3 linked regions of the Nothobranchius furzeri genome follow. The protein of the gene in region 1 interacts with the protein of each later gene in a pairwise test. Links are inferred from orthologs where the notes say so. Each region holds a gene or a part of one and is shown in the gene's direction. Other genes may lie near its edges.

The links.
Region 2: the proteins of tmem79b (region 1) and rprma interact in binary tests that used the Homo sapiens proteins (3 or more experiments, as listed by UniProt). The two-hybrid records come from large-scale screens. The link is inferred for Nothobranchius furzeri from reciprocal best matches to the Homo sapiens genes TMEM79 and RPRM.
Region 3: the proteins of tmem79b (region 1) and sarcolipin interact in binary tests that used the Homo sapiens proteins (3 or more experiments, as listed by UniProt). The two-hybrid records come from large-scale screens. The link is inferred for Nothobranchius furzeri from reciprocal best matches to the Homo sapiens genes TMEM79 and SLN.

Annotation. Positions count from the first base shown.
Region 1 is NC_091745.1:66,340,983-66,346,187, forward strand, and holds the start of tmem79b (transmembrane protein 79), read left to right. Parts: upstream 1-2,045; 5' UTR 2,046-2,212; intron 2,213-5,205.
Region 2 is NC_091754.1:18,399,531-18,404,145, reverse strand, and holds rprma (protein reprimo A), read left to right. Parts: upstream 1-1,795; 5' UTR 1,796-2,051; coding exon 2,052-2,360; 3' UTR 2,361-3,230; downstream 3,231-4,615. UniProt on the Homo sapiens protein: May be involved in the regulation of p53-dependent G2 arrest of the cell cycle. Seems to induce cell cycle arrest by inhibiting CDK1 activity and nuclear translocation of the CDC2 cyclin B1 complex.
Region 3 is NC_091753.1:35,536,265-35,540,151, forward strand, and holds sarcolipin, read left to right. Parts: upstream 1-1,656; 5' UTR 1,657-1,894; intron 1,895-2,019; 5' UTR 2,020-2,092; coding exon 2,093-2,188; 3' UTR 2,189-2,502; downstream 2,503-3,887. Other genes in the region: kbtbd3 (kelch repeat and BTB domain-containing protein 3), read right to left, coding at 3,185-3,310. UniProt on the Homo sapiens protein: Reversibly inhibits the activity of ATP2A1/SERCA1 and ATP2A2/SERCA2 in sarcoplasmic reticulum by decreasing the apparent affinity of the ATPase for Ca(2+). Also inhibits the activity of ATP2A3/SERCA3.

The DNA of each region.
Region 1 (5,205 bases):
CTCTTCACAAGACTGTCTGACAACGGAAGAGTGTCTTCAGTCAGAGGCTTCTTCAGTTTCGCTGCAACACTGACCACTACTGGAGATCCTTCCTGCCAACAGCCATTGTGATGTACAATAACTCTTTGACGACTTGATTATTATTATTATTCTGAGCTACTACAGCAATCAATTTCCCTCTGGGATTAATAAAGTATTTTTGAATTGAATTGAAGTAAAAGTAAATGTACAGATTTTAAAAACAACTTGAAAAGTATAAATAAACAAAAAAAACTACTCAATTACAGTAACGTGAGTAAATGTAATTCGTTACTTTCCACCTCTGGTGGCTTCGGTTGAGGTATTATTTCAGCCTTTCCAATGTTAATCAGCTGTAAACCAGCTTGTTGCCATGGTTACGCATCATAACAAATGCTCAAAAAGTGAAAAAAGCAAAACAATTGCAGAAAAAAATCCTCCAAGCTTCACAGCACCAGAAACAGAAAAGTAAAATGTCAAAAAAAAAAAACGTTTTTCTTGAGAAACTTTGAAGAAAAAATGTCCAAGAAAAGACAAAACTTACATATCGTCAACAGAGCTACTCCAACATGCAGCCACCCAGAGCAGATCAGTTCCGAAAAGTTCAGTCATCATGCCGCTGGGTTGATCCCCAAGGCCGCCTACCTAGGGCCTATCATCAGGTGTCAGGTAACACCAGGGCTGACTCTACCGAATTTGGTACCCCAGGCTTGATCCTTCGCGCTCCCCGTCCTTGCCACATGCACGCACGCACACACTGCACCCCCCACAAACACATACACACACAGACTCGCAATGATCATACATTTTAAACTCTCATTTAAATTAGACTTTCATTGAAATCACTTTTAGCTTCTTCTACTGCTTTAATAAACTCCCTTTTCTCTTCCTGCAGATTCTCTCTGAGAAGTTGAATATTTAATTCCTCTTTGAGCAGAAATTGTCTATCTAATCTAATGCTGTAATTCTGTCTTTTTCTGCTCAAACTCTGATTTCTGGTTCTCCAGATGAATGTTTTCAGCTTTTAAACATTTCTTCACATCATTTAGAGTCTGTCGTTTCTCCGCTATGTCCTGTTCAAAATTTTCTTTAGAGTTTAAAAACTAATTTCTGGTTTTCCAGGTGAATGTGTCATGTTCTGTGTCCCCTTGGTCCCCAGCCCCCTCCTGTTCTCCCTCAGGTTCTCCTCATGTGTCTTCTTGTGTTCCCCAGCTCCCTCTAGGCTTTCCTCATGTTTTCCTCCTCCCTTGTAATTCCCATTTGTTTGCATTAGTCCTCCTCACCCCTGTAGTTAATCGAGCAGCCTATTTGCCTGCACTTTTGAAGCTGACGGGGGTCAGCTTCACAGAGCTCCCACAGCTGAGGAGGGAAAGAGGAGGTAAACAGCGAGTGGATCACAAGGACTGAACTGATGTTTTTGAGCAAAACTGCGGTAAAAATGGCTGTTTGTCCTCATTATCAAGTGTTTGTATTTGGGTTTGTGGTTAAATTATGAAAATGTTTGAAGTGGATGCTCGGGGAATGTCTGAATATTAGTGAGTTTAAGAAACAGTGCATTTTTTTTCATGGTCAGTAGGTGAATATTGTTTATTTAATAATTTTTTATAGGTTAGATATTGTTGTGAAGCTCTTGGCTATGATTGTATGATATGTGAAGAGTATTGTTGAGATTGATAGTATTCGATTATGATTGGAAGCCCAATTAGTAAATGACATTAACTTAAAAGGAAGGGGTGGGTCATGTTTTACTTCCATCTTCTCCTTTTCAGACATGGAAATTTATTATTTTATTCAAAGTTATGATTTCTCCATTTTATTATTTTTTTAGTTGCATCTTTCAATTATGTGTGAAAATGTTTGCTTATTTTGTCCTTTTTACACGTTTGAAAGCTTTAAACTAAACTAAACGAAACTAAAGATTTTTCTGCGTAATTAAGGAATTTATTGAACATCCATCCTGCTCAGAATGGAAGACTGAAACATTTCCCCACTGAGGGACAATAATAATGCTCAGTTTCAATAAACGCTGTTTGCTTTTCAGAGGCTTTCTGATCACCTGGGAGGATTTTCTGTCGGCAGGCATTTAACCAATACTGGCCCTTTAAGCAGGCTTTCTTATTTACCTGAGAGACCACACCTGACGTTGACTTCCGCAAAATTTCACAACAGAATTTCCAGGTGGCAGAAGTTAGAGGTGAGAACTCAGGTCCAGGAAAAAAAACAAAACAAGAACCTTAAATAAAACTGGAGAAAGAAGGACCGAGGACCAGAACCAGGTACTGGACCCAGATGTGTTTGTTTGTGACGCTTTCCATGATGTTAGCATGTTAGCTCGTCTCTGGTCAACAGGTGATTCCAGGTGATCGCGTGTCCCCAATGACGTCAGATTGTAAACACTGTCTTAAAATTCTTTAAAAGAATCAAGATAGATGTTAAAAAAAGCAACAACCCAGGAAGCCATGATGTCTTTGACAGTGCCTCTGGTATCTTTATCGAAAACAAAATAAAACTTGATTAGGGCGGTCAGTCAAGAAAATATTAGTATTTATTCACGATTAATCGCGGGAGTGTTTAACCAATTCCAACATGGTACTCATAAATTCAGCATAATGTGACATATTGATGGCTTCTGATGCAGGAGCAGACAAATACCTCATATGTAAATGTAGGCCTATTCAAAACAACAATAAACAGCCTATGTTGCAGCTAAAGTTCATGGAGCTGAAGTTTCTTTCTATTTCTAATTTCCATTTAGAAAAATGGCTAAAGAACCATTTCAACTGATTCTAGCAGAATGTGTCCAGATTTTAGTTTGTGGTTGGTGAAACCATCCTTTATTAGAGCAGACAGCTCAAAACCACAGATTATTCTGAGACTGTGTACTGGGTTGACTAACCCTAATCCAGTTTGTGATTTATGAAAGTTTAATATAGAGCATTTCCAGCACTTCTTTTGCATCTGGAATTTATTGAAACAGGTCCTGCTCAAAAAGTGCAAAAGTCTATATATATATATATATATATATATATATATATATATATATATATATATATTTTTTTTTTTATCTTGCAAAGCAAGACAAGAAAGCAGTGAAGAGCTTGTCAAGTTCATAGAGATGCAGGGGAAACTCTTAATTGTGAATAATTGTCCCAGGCCTTACCTATACGTTACTCAAAAGCTTTAGGTGAAATCCAAACAGGCAGGTTGTGGCCCCACGTACAGTGAGGAGGTGGACTGATGAGTGTGAGGAGGTTCTCAAGGACTGCTTCAACACCACGGTGTGGACAGATCTCTGTGATCCACATGGGGAAGACATTAATGCCATCACAGATTGCATCACGGACTACATAAACTTCTGTTTTGAGAACACCGTTCCCTCCAGGACGGTGTGGTGCTCCGCGAACACCAAACCATGGATCACCCCCAACATCAAAACTCTCTTAAAGGAGAAAAAGAGAGCCTTCAAATCTGGGGACAAGGAGTAGCTGAGAACCGTTCAGAAGGAGCTGAGGAGGAAGATTAGGGAGGCCAGCTACAATAGGAAAATGGAGAAGCAAAACACCCCACTCACAGGGGGAGGGGGACCTGAAGTGGCCCAACTACCTAAACCTGTATTTCAATAGGTTTGACCAAGCACCCACCCCTTCCCCCACACAGCCTCATTCAAATAACTCGACACCTGGAAGACCCCCTACAACTACAGCCCTTCACACCTCTGGCTCCTCCATTCGCACCATCGTGCATCCCCCAGGACTCGGCCCCCTCCCCAGTACAGAGCCCCACTGCCCACTCCTCTCCTTTACAACAGGCCAGGTGACGAGAGAGCAGATGCAGATCAAAGCGAAAAAAGCTGCTGGTCCTGACAATATTAGCTCCAGTCTCCTTAAATCCTGCGCAGATGAACTGAGTGGAGTTATAGAGCATGTCTTCAACCTGAGCCTCAAGCTGAGGGTGGTACCTCAGCTCTGGAAGACCTCCTGTGTGGTTCCAGTGCCGAAGACACGAAAAGCTAATGAGCTCAGTAGCTACCGGCCGGTGGCTCTCACATCCCACCTGATGAAGACACTGGAGAGACTGATCCTGGGACACCTCCGGTCTACTGTGGGACCTTCGACGTATCCATTGCAGTTTGCTTACCGACCAGTGGTTGGAGTAGAAGGTCTCACAACACAGACAGGAAGGAAGGGCCAGAGCAGGCTCCACCTCCTGAGGAGACTACGGTCTTTTGGGGTGATGGGGACACTCCTGAAGCCCTTCTACGACTCTGTGGTGGCATCAGCAATCCTGTATGGTGTGGTGTATTGGAGCAGCAGCATCACAGAGAGGGAGAGAAAGAAGCTGGACAGGCTGATAAAGAAGTCCAGGTCTGTCCTGGGCTGTCCTCTGGACTCAGTACGAGAGGTGGGGGACAAGAGGGTACAGGCAAAACTCAGATCCATCCTGGACCATGAGTCACACCCCCTGCAGGATACCCTGTCTGCTCTGGAGAGCAGTTTCAGCAACAGACTGATCCACCCTCGCTGTACGAAGGAGAGATACCACAGATCTTTCCTCCCTGCTGCTGTTAGACTCCATAATAGTCACTGCTAATAGAAGCCAAACATCTGTAACCTTCCACTGCAAATATCATCTTTTCAAAACGTGCAATATAACTACTACTCTCATTAGCATGTGCAATAATTATCTTAACTTACTATTACTATTGTAGAGAAGATGTTCTTATATTTAATTAGAAACCATAGAATGTAAAATATCATAAAATATGAAACATCACCTTAATGGATCTTTGAGTACATTTAACCATAAGATCGGATCTTTTTATTGCAGGGATTGAGCAACACTTCGTATCAACTCCAAGAAATAGAGTCGGGTTTAAAAAGTTAAAAGATTTATTTCTAAACAATTTAAACAAGACTAACTTTAAACACTATGTGATGATGAACTAAGGTGGAGTAAGACTGAGGTTGGTCTGTGTGTGAAATATGTTCAGAACCAGCAAATCCAGAGAAACGATTAGTTCTGATGGGAGTGAAATGGTGTTTCGCTCTAAGCTTTGGTTTGGAGATTATAACACACATTGAGACGCCATCTGTCAGTCTACGTACCCCAATGGAAGTCCCCGTTTAGATCTGGAATGTCGGGGGTCCAGCTTGGACCCTCTTGGAACCGACGACTGTAGATATGCAG
Region 2 (4,615 bases), on another chromosome or scaffold:
TGCGCTTCTGAGCTGCTTTCCGACCTTCCCCACCTACAAAGTTTAATTACAACAATCAAACGTGACAGAGCCTGGATTTGTATTCTGAACAGTCTAAACATGTTTTAAAAAGAAACGTATGACAAAAGTGGCACCTGCTCAGTAAAACCACCAATAGGGTGAATATTGAAGGCAGAGACTGGCTACAGCTTCTGGATCCACTTTATTTAATCGTTTTATTGATTATCTTTTTATGAAAGATAACTTTGACGTACACGAGCGACCAGGCGCGTTGCAAGCTTTTCAAAAGTGTGGGGGATGTTGTCTGTGCCTAAAATAATTTCATGTTATTCATCCTGTTAGTTTAATTTCCATAATAGCGGAGCAGGTACGAATTTTAGACGCGTCACGCACGTCTCCGTTTTAAACATGTTATAAACTGTTCAGAATACAAATCCAGGCTCTGTCTCGTTAGATTGGTGTAACTAAAGTTTGTACTGAATGAAACTTTACATTAAACCATGTTGAAAAGAAAAGGATCCCATTAAATCGTTTCCCCCTCATTTACAGTCACGGACTACAGCGCAGTGCGCGTGGCTCTGGGGTTAATCAAGTTTAATTGTTTCTCGTTGCAACAATCTTCACAAGAAGGCAAAACAGTTAAATGGCAGGTTACAGATATTTCCATTTGACTGTTTATTTTGACGGATAAACTCAAGGATGTTGGTTGATTTCCTCCCACTGAAGCGGTCTTTTGCATGTCCCCGGCGTCCCCGGTTAAAATGACGCTGACTTCATCTTTGGTACTTTCTTTCTGTGTTTGACTTCAAATTCCATTTTTGGTTCTTTTGAAAACACAAGTTTCTCTTTACCTTGCTGACAGTTTTGTTTGCCAACTGCAAAACACCCTCAGAGCTGACACTGTGAGGGTGTTTTGAAAGAGAAACCTTTCCTGTGTTTTAAAAAGAACCAAAAATGGAATTGGGGTCTGACTTCATTTTTTTTTTACCTCACCTCTCTGATTCTGGCTCAAGTTGAACAATGCTGCCATCTGCTGCCAAACATGAGAACAGCAGATATAACTCTCATGCGTCGGTGTGGAACAGCCCTCAGCTCAAGACTGTTTGTTACTGTAACACTTTTATTACTCTGTTTGAACTTGAACAGCTGCAAAAGGCTGTAAGTTTAATAAATCTGAAATATTTTGTTAAATGCAAAATGGCAAAATATACTGCAAAATAAAAAATATCAGATTAAGAATATTCACTAGAAAAATAATTAACAAATTTTATATTTTTTATTAATTATTATATTTTCAGTAATTGTTTGACTATTTTTCTGTTTTCTTGTTTTTCTGTTTTTAAACGTTGTTTTATTTTTTACTTCTAACGTTTATTCTTTGCAGCAATAATTTAAATATGTCACACCAGAGTCCCCACAAGTACAAACATTTTGCTTATCAAATTTTAAAATCTTATGAGAGTGCACAACAATGTAGTTTTGTTTTGTTTTTACAATTTATTGATGATTAAATTGATTTTTCATGACGCTTTGGTACTTATACCTTTATTTCTCATTGTCTAGATAAATTTAAAGACCAAACTGAAAGCAAATGCATGCTGAGTTGTCTGCAGGACCAACGGGGACCCCGTAGAAATGATGAGTCAGTATGGATTCCTGTGTGAGTGCACGTGCTGATTCACAGCAGGCTGCAAATACTTTACAAAACAGGCTTTGCACAAAATGTCAATGCGTTGCACAGAAGTTGCAATGTGCGGTCTTACCGTGTGGTGGCGCTCTTACTGTTTCCTCCTGAACAGAGGCGGTCTGGGTATATAACCGCGAGGTCGGTGCATTCATTTGGATCTGAAACTGGCAGCGCAGCGCATGAAATCCCCAGTGATGCGATGCCAAAGCGTCTTTTCCGACTCCGGGAGAGCTCTGTTTGATCCAGAGGAACTTCTTCAACTCCTCACCATCACTTGATGATAATCCAACCTCTCTCATCTCTGCTTTTTGGGCCCCGCGCGCTCAAAGTTTGATTTATTTTTCTCTCTTTTGCAAAAGTAGAGATGAACACCACCGGGTTGAACCAGACAGAGAGTGGACTGTTTAACAAGACGGAAGAGTTTTTCTGCTGCAACTTCTCCTCCGTGGTGACTGACAACGGCTTTGTTGCCGCGGCACCGGATGAGAGGAGCCTCTTCATCATGAGGGTGGTCCAGATCGCCGTCATGTGCGTCCTGTCCCTCACGGTGGTGTTTGGCATCTTCTTCTTGGGCTGCAACCTGCTCATAAAGTCAGAGGGGATGATCAACTTTTTGGTTATGGACAGGAGACCCTCAAAAGAAACGGAGACAGTGATTGTTGGAGCCTACTGAGGGATGGGGACGCTTATTTTCGGTACAGATGAAGAGCGCACGGTGATCAACAACCAAGGAAGCCCTGCTTTCACGTTTAGACATTTTATAAAAATAAAAAGCACTTAAAGGTGGATGGACCCTGACTGGGGCTAGAAGTGTTCACTTATGCTTTCGTGGCCTTTTTAAACAAAGACATCCTTTGGTCTGCAGGAGGTAAAGCGCGTTTATTCAGACGCGTCATTTAAAATAGTTGCATCGTTTGTTAAGCAGCAGCTGGTGGGGAATGTGGTTGACTGGCTGCTTTCTGCGCCCTTCTGCACCTCTAATAAAGGTGGAATATGTATTTTTGCCATTCAATAATGATTTATTGTAAAAATGACCAAATCCATTCTTCCTTCTTTAAATAAATAATTTCATTCTGTAATTAAAACAATGTGGGTCCCTTTTTCGCAAAGTGTTTGAAATATGAGGAACAAGGATGATGATAATGACAAAAAAGGCATTTTTGTGAAAGTGTGAGGCTATTCTAACAGTGGTGCCACCAAAGAATTTCATGGGGGGCCAGTGAATATCTTGGGGTGGCACACCACATTTGTCCCTGTGGTAACTCTGGGTAAAGTTTAGTCTGCTGCTGTGCGCTGAAGGCCTATGCATCCAACACATTTACCAAATCTCCCTAAATCATTGACCTCAAATTTGAGAAATTTAAACGCTTCAGAAAAAAGACAAAATTCCACAAATTTATTTCAGAAAAAATAAAAAAGAAAGTTGTGTACTTGCTTTAACATTTATGTTAATAAACTGAATGTATGAGTATTGAGGAACATGAATTACATTTATTATGGGGCTAGCGGGCTTGTCTTCCCTGGAGGGGGCAGTGAGGTGGCCATTGTCCCCCTGAGCACTTCTTGGGGTTGCCACTGATTACTAAACTTGTAAGAATGTTCTTGCTTTTTAATAACAATATGTCATATCAGACTGCGCGGGTTTGTTTAAATCAAAATGGTAAAAAAAAAAAAGTCCAAAAAAAAAATGAAACATCTTTGTCATTATTTTCATCTCCTTGTGTCACATTGTGATGCAGCATCTCACATCCTTCCTCCTTCTGTCAAAACATCTGTCTGCCTCTGGCTCACCTGTTTGCCAGCTCCCCTGGAGCTTCAGAAATCACCTGCCCTGTCAATGCAGAGAGGAAGAGGAAGACGAAGAAGCCATGGGCAATATGCTGCTGCCTCGCTGGCCACCTGTGCTTTGCTCAAAGTTAAACAAAATCAGTCTCCTAGCTGTCCTTCGCCCGGCTCTCCTCCTGAGCCGTCTGCTGGACAAAAGGTCATTCTCTCCCATTACAGATGTCCACAAGCATGACAGGAAAAGTATGGACAAGACTTCTGAACCACAACAGATGTCATTGGAGGAACATGTTTAAAAAGACAGATGGTGAAATTGTGAATTGTTAGTTAGTTGCTTAGACTGCCACATTTTTAGGGCAGAAACGATCTGTTATAACTATAATTACATATGAAAAAGAAAAATGCAATCAAGGGCGGCATGCCTGATTTTTAGTTGACTGGAACCAAAAACATTAGAAAAGTTGCACTCAGCTACAATATTCTGCAAGATGTAATGGAGTACAGTTCACAAAACCACAGCATTATACAAAATAAAATGGTCAAAAAGAAAAAGAAAAAGTCTTAAGGTCCAAAAATTTCTCCTCAAACATTTATGACAGAAAGATTTTGGACACATTAAATCATCTTCAGCTTCTTTTGTGAAATAAAGTTCAAAAAAGTGAATTTTACACTGAATACATTTGCTGAAGCTTGCACTTTCATGCCATCACATATATGATTTAGTCGTCATACCATGAAGTAGAATGCTCTCAGGCAGGAAATGCTCAGACTGAGTAACTTGTGTTATGTTAATAACTGTTATTAAGGCTTTTATTCAGACACGAGAAGTAAAATACTTAGTTTAAATCTACAGAACATGACATTTTAAAATAGCTCTAATTTTGTTAACATTTTTTGTTAATTAACTTGCGTCTGTTTTTTTTTTCAGTTTGTCATTTTAGGATGAATTGGGTCAGTGTAGCATATCTCACAGCAGAGCTTTTTCTCTTTTTTGCGTGATAGCTTTGATTGGCAAGAGCTGAGTGTTGTCTGCAGGAAGACATTACAGCTGTTAAAAACCAGCTGAGAGCAATCTTCAGACTGAAATCGACCGCTCATCCCTCAGCTCCTAATGCACAAATACTCTCACTGAATTCTGGTTGA
Region 3 (3,887 bases), on another chromosome or scaffold:
TGTGTCACATGCTACTTGACCAGGAATCAGATAGAGGAGGAAACGCAGAGGCCCCAGCACAGAACCTTGTGGGACACCATGGGTGATGGAGGTGGTAGAGGACTGAAACTTGGAGACGGCCACAGAGAAGGAACACTCAGGCAGACAATAGGGGAACTACCCCAGAGCAGTTCCTGATCGGCCTACCCAGTCTCTCGGCCTCTCCAGTAGCAGGTGATGGTCAACAGTGTCAAAGGCTGCAGTCAGGTCCAGCAGGACCAGAACAGAACAGTCCCCTGCATCACTGTGAGTCAGAAGTTCATTAGAGACCCTAAGAAGAGCTGTTTCAGTAGAATGAGCTCTACGAATCCTGGCTGTTAACAAAATAATGGCATTACTAGACCAATGTGCAATAGTTCTGTTTTAATTAGGCCTCTGTTTTTAGGTCATGTTTTCTCCTTCCCTTGTGGAAACTTTCAATCCGCTAGCTGTCACTTCATGATATACCGTGGTTCATTACACAAGCACATGTACGTTTTGCGTCCCGCGGATACTGGAATGGTGTCTCTGAGGCCTTGTTGACACCCAGTGTCTCTCTGCTGAATTAGTTGGTAACCCTGCCAGAGCACGTCCATCCTAAATACACCCACAGCTGCCGTGGGTGAGACATGGTCCGCTCTACAATCACATCCTTCTTTGCGTTACTCAGTAACCTTGGCACCACATATACAACAACAGTGGGAACCCCAGAGTCCAGCAGCCATTGGTCTGAGGCTGGCACCACAGCCAGATAGCATTGCAACCACTTTGATCCCTTAAATCCTTTGGGAATGACCCTGGAATTCCTTGATGGAAAAGTTCAAGGGAGCTGTACATATGCTTTGTCCTGCCATGCTCCCTCTGAGTGCAGGAGAAGGTGTGCATGTCGCGAGGGCTTTACACTCGTTCAGAGATAACACCGTTCTTAGCAGCTGCCAAGTGTGAGAGGAGCTGAGGGGTATGCTGTTGGGAGCTGTCAAAGCTGTTTTCTTTGAACTTATACAGCAAAAAGTCCTGATCCGCGTATGGTAGGGGGAGAAAACTATTCAATTCTAGTAAAAAAAAATAAAAACTTAGTTTATTAATTCATTAACAAAACAACTTTTCAGTTTGATTCCAAAAATATTACATGAGGGAATTTCACCATTTTGGCTGCAAATTTTGTGATATGATCCAAAACACCTTTTGTGCAAAAGACTCGTTATCGTTATGCAGTTTTATTCAGGAGGATGACACAAGTTTGATTAAAGTTTTTAATAAATCTCACTCCATCTTGGGTTTTAAAGCTTTTCCTTTTTCCTCCCGACAACTAAAACATTTTTCTTGCTCGCAAAAATTTGCTCTGAATTAACCATTTTCATCTGTTTCTAACATCGATAATGATGATGCATGTTTTATTTTGGAGTAGCTGCTCCATTATTCTGTCCTCAGGGCATAGCCCCCTCCCTGATTCTGAGGGATAGTTAGAGTTTCCTACACCCATCAGTATATTGTGTTTGGAACGACTGTAATCCACCAAGTATCTGCAACAAGGTTGTAAAAATAACCCTTCTCTGTTGTTATGGGAGGAAAGGGAGACCTGTTGTGGATGGAAAATACTCCAGCGGATGACACTGTGGTAAATAACAGACTCCGATGGTTGTTTAGTTGGAGTGTGACATCAGTCTGTGTGTACGTGAGCCTTGGGCAGTCCAATGTGAAGGAGGGGAGGGGCCCTGCCTCTGACAAAAGCAGAAAACTGGACAAGAGTGAGGAGATAGGAAGAACCAGCAGAGAGAAGAAGCTTCCAGTGGGAAGACGAGAGGCTTCTGTGAAGCAAAGAGTAAAGATCTCCTCTTTTCCTGCTTGGGGGGACACCCTTGCACATATTGTTAAGGTAAGAGTCCAGGAGTTTGATCTCCTCATATTCTCCAGCTCGTGTTAGGGTACATTAACAGTTTCCATCTTCTTTCTAACAAAACATTTTACTGTTCCTGTTCTTTTTTTTTTTTTTTTGTCTAGTTTTAGAAAAGTGTCCAAAACCAGAGCCGCACATCTCCACTTCGCCAGTGCCACCCATTCCCTCTCATTCACCATGGACCGCTCGACCCAGGAGTTGTTCCTCAACTTCATGATCGTTTTAATCACGGTGCTGCTCATGTGGCTGCTGGTGAAAACATACCAGGACTGAGGCGTGGAGCAGGAGAGATGTAGGAATGAAGAGCAGCCAGCGAATGAGACTTTGGTGCTGGCTGATTGTTGTATCAATGCAGAGTTTACATTTCTGTTTTTCTTGGTTTGATCCAGAGCTGGAGCTTTCCTTAGACATCAAACACTACCTAAAAGCCAAGACAGCTTGTCTTGGAGTTATATTTTTATTAGGAGAAGGTTTTTGAATGTGTGGCCATGAGCCCATGGGAAGGAAAAGTCTGGAGTGTAAATAAAATAAAAAATAAAAGAGTTTTTGAGACTTTATCTGTGTAAAATGCAGGCAAAGCAACACTTGAATGATAGTGTCTTTTATGTAGCTTTAGATACATGCAACTGTGGATCCTTCTGTTTGTGTGAATGTTACAAAAATACTGCATCTACTCATAAACCAGGATGCAGTTAAATATTTTATTTTATTTCACTTTTTTGTCCATAAAAACTTCTATTTGTGTGATTTTCTGACTTACAGCAGAGTTTTACTAACCACCACAAGGCTCCAGTGGCGATGTAACAGAATGAGCTGACACGTCTAGTTTAATCCGATTAAAAGATAAGATGTAGATGGTGCATATTGGGAGAACACGCTGAAGATTGATGTGATTTTTCACAATTTCAAACAAAATAATATCCTTTTATATGTTAGCTGTAGGACAGCTGACAGTTTTACACATCACATTACATCTAAGAGCACATTTCCCACCTGAATTATAACAAGACAAAAATATTTTAGGGTTCCTCCATAGGAGGGGACATTTAGATTGGCACAAAAGCACAACATGAGACCAGGAGTTTCACAAATACGCTTTGTTTTTTTCTTCCAAGTTATACTTATTTGAAATTTAAAATAAAGTGTAGATAAGGAGCTATTTGGAGGATAGCTGAAAGCAGGCATGTTGTTAGAGCTGTGATTGTTAGCGTTAGCTCTCCACCGCGGCAAGTCAGTGAAGACTTGTGCCGCTTCAGCATTCTGTTTTGTCTATCCCTCCGTGTCACCCCACGGGTCTCTGTATCTGTTGAAGCTGATGAGCTGACAGTGGAACTCAGTGAGTGCTCTGGGCATGGGCGACATTTCCTCCCACTGACTCCTCCCACTGTAGTACACCTGCACAGGTAACAGGAAAACACAAAAGTGAATCCCAATCAAAGTTTATGACCAGGTGATGAAAAACAATGTATTAAAAACATTTTTTATTTAAACACAAGAGTTTCAGCAAATTCTTTTTAAAGGGTTAGGAGTCTAAATTTCATACAGGAAATCCAGACCTTGTTTGGCTTAATTTGCACACGTTTTGGGACTTTTGTTTTTTTTTTTTTCAAATGAAAGAGAAATTTAGAATTATTAAAATCTTTAAAACTGCAGATTATGTTCCTTTTATCATTTCTAAAAGTTGCTCACTAGCCCACCTGTAAATGAACCGGTTTTTATTCCAATTCAAATTCAACTTTATTTATAAAGTGCTTTCACATGCCCAAAAGGACAAACAAAGTGCTGTACACCAATAAAAACAAACATGCATAAAACCATTGAAATGCCATATAATGGTTGTAACAAATTTTTAAGCACAGTCTGGCCACATTAAGACATTTCAAGGAGCAAATTGAATAAGCAGAAAGCAGCCCAATACCTCAAACAAGTTGGAAGGAATGTTACATTAAAATAGATTTATTTTAAGCTGGCT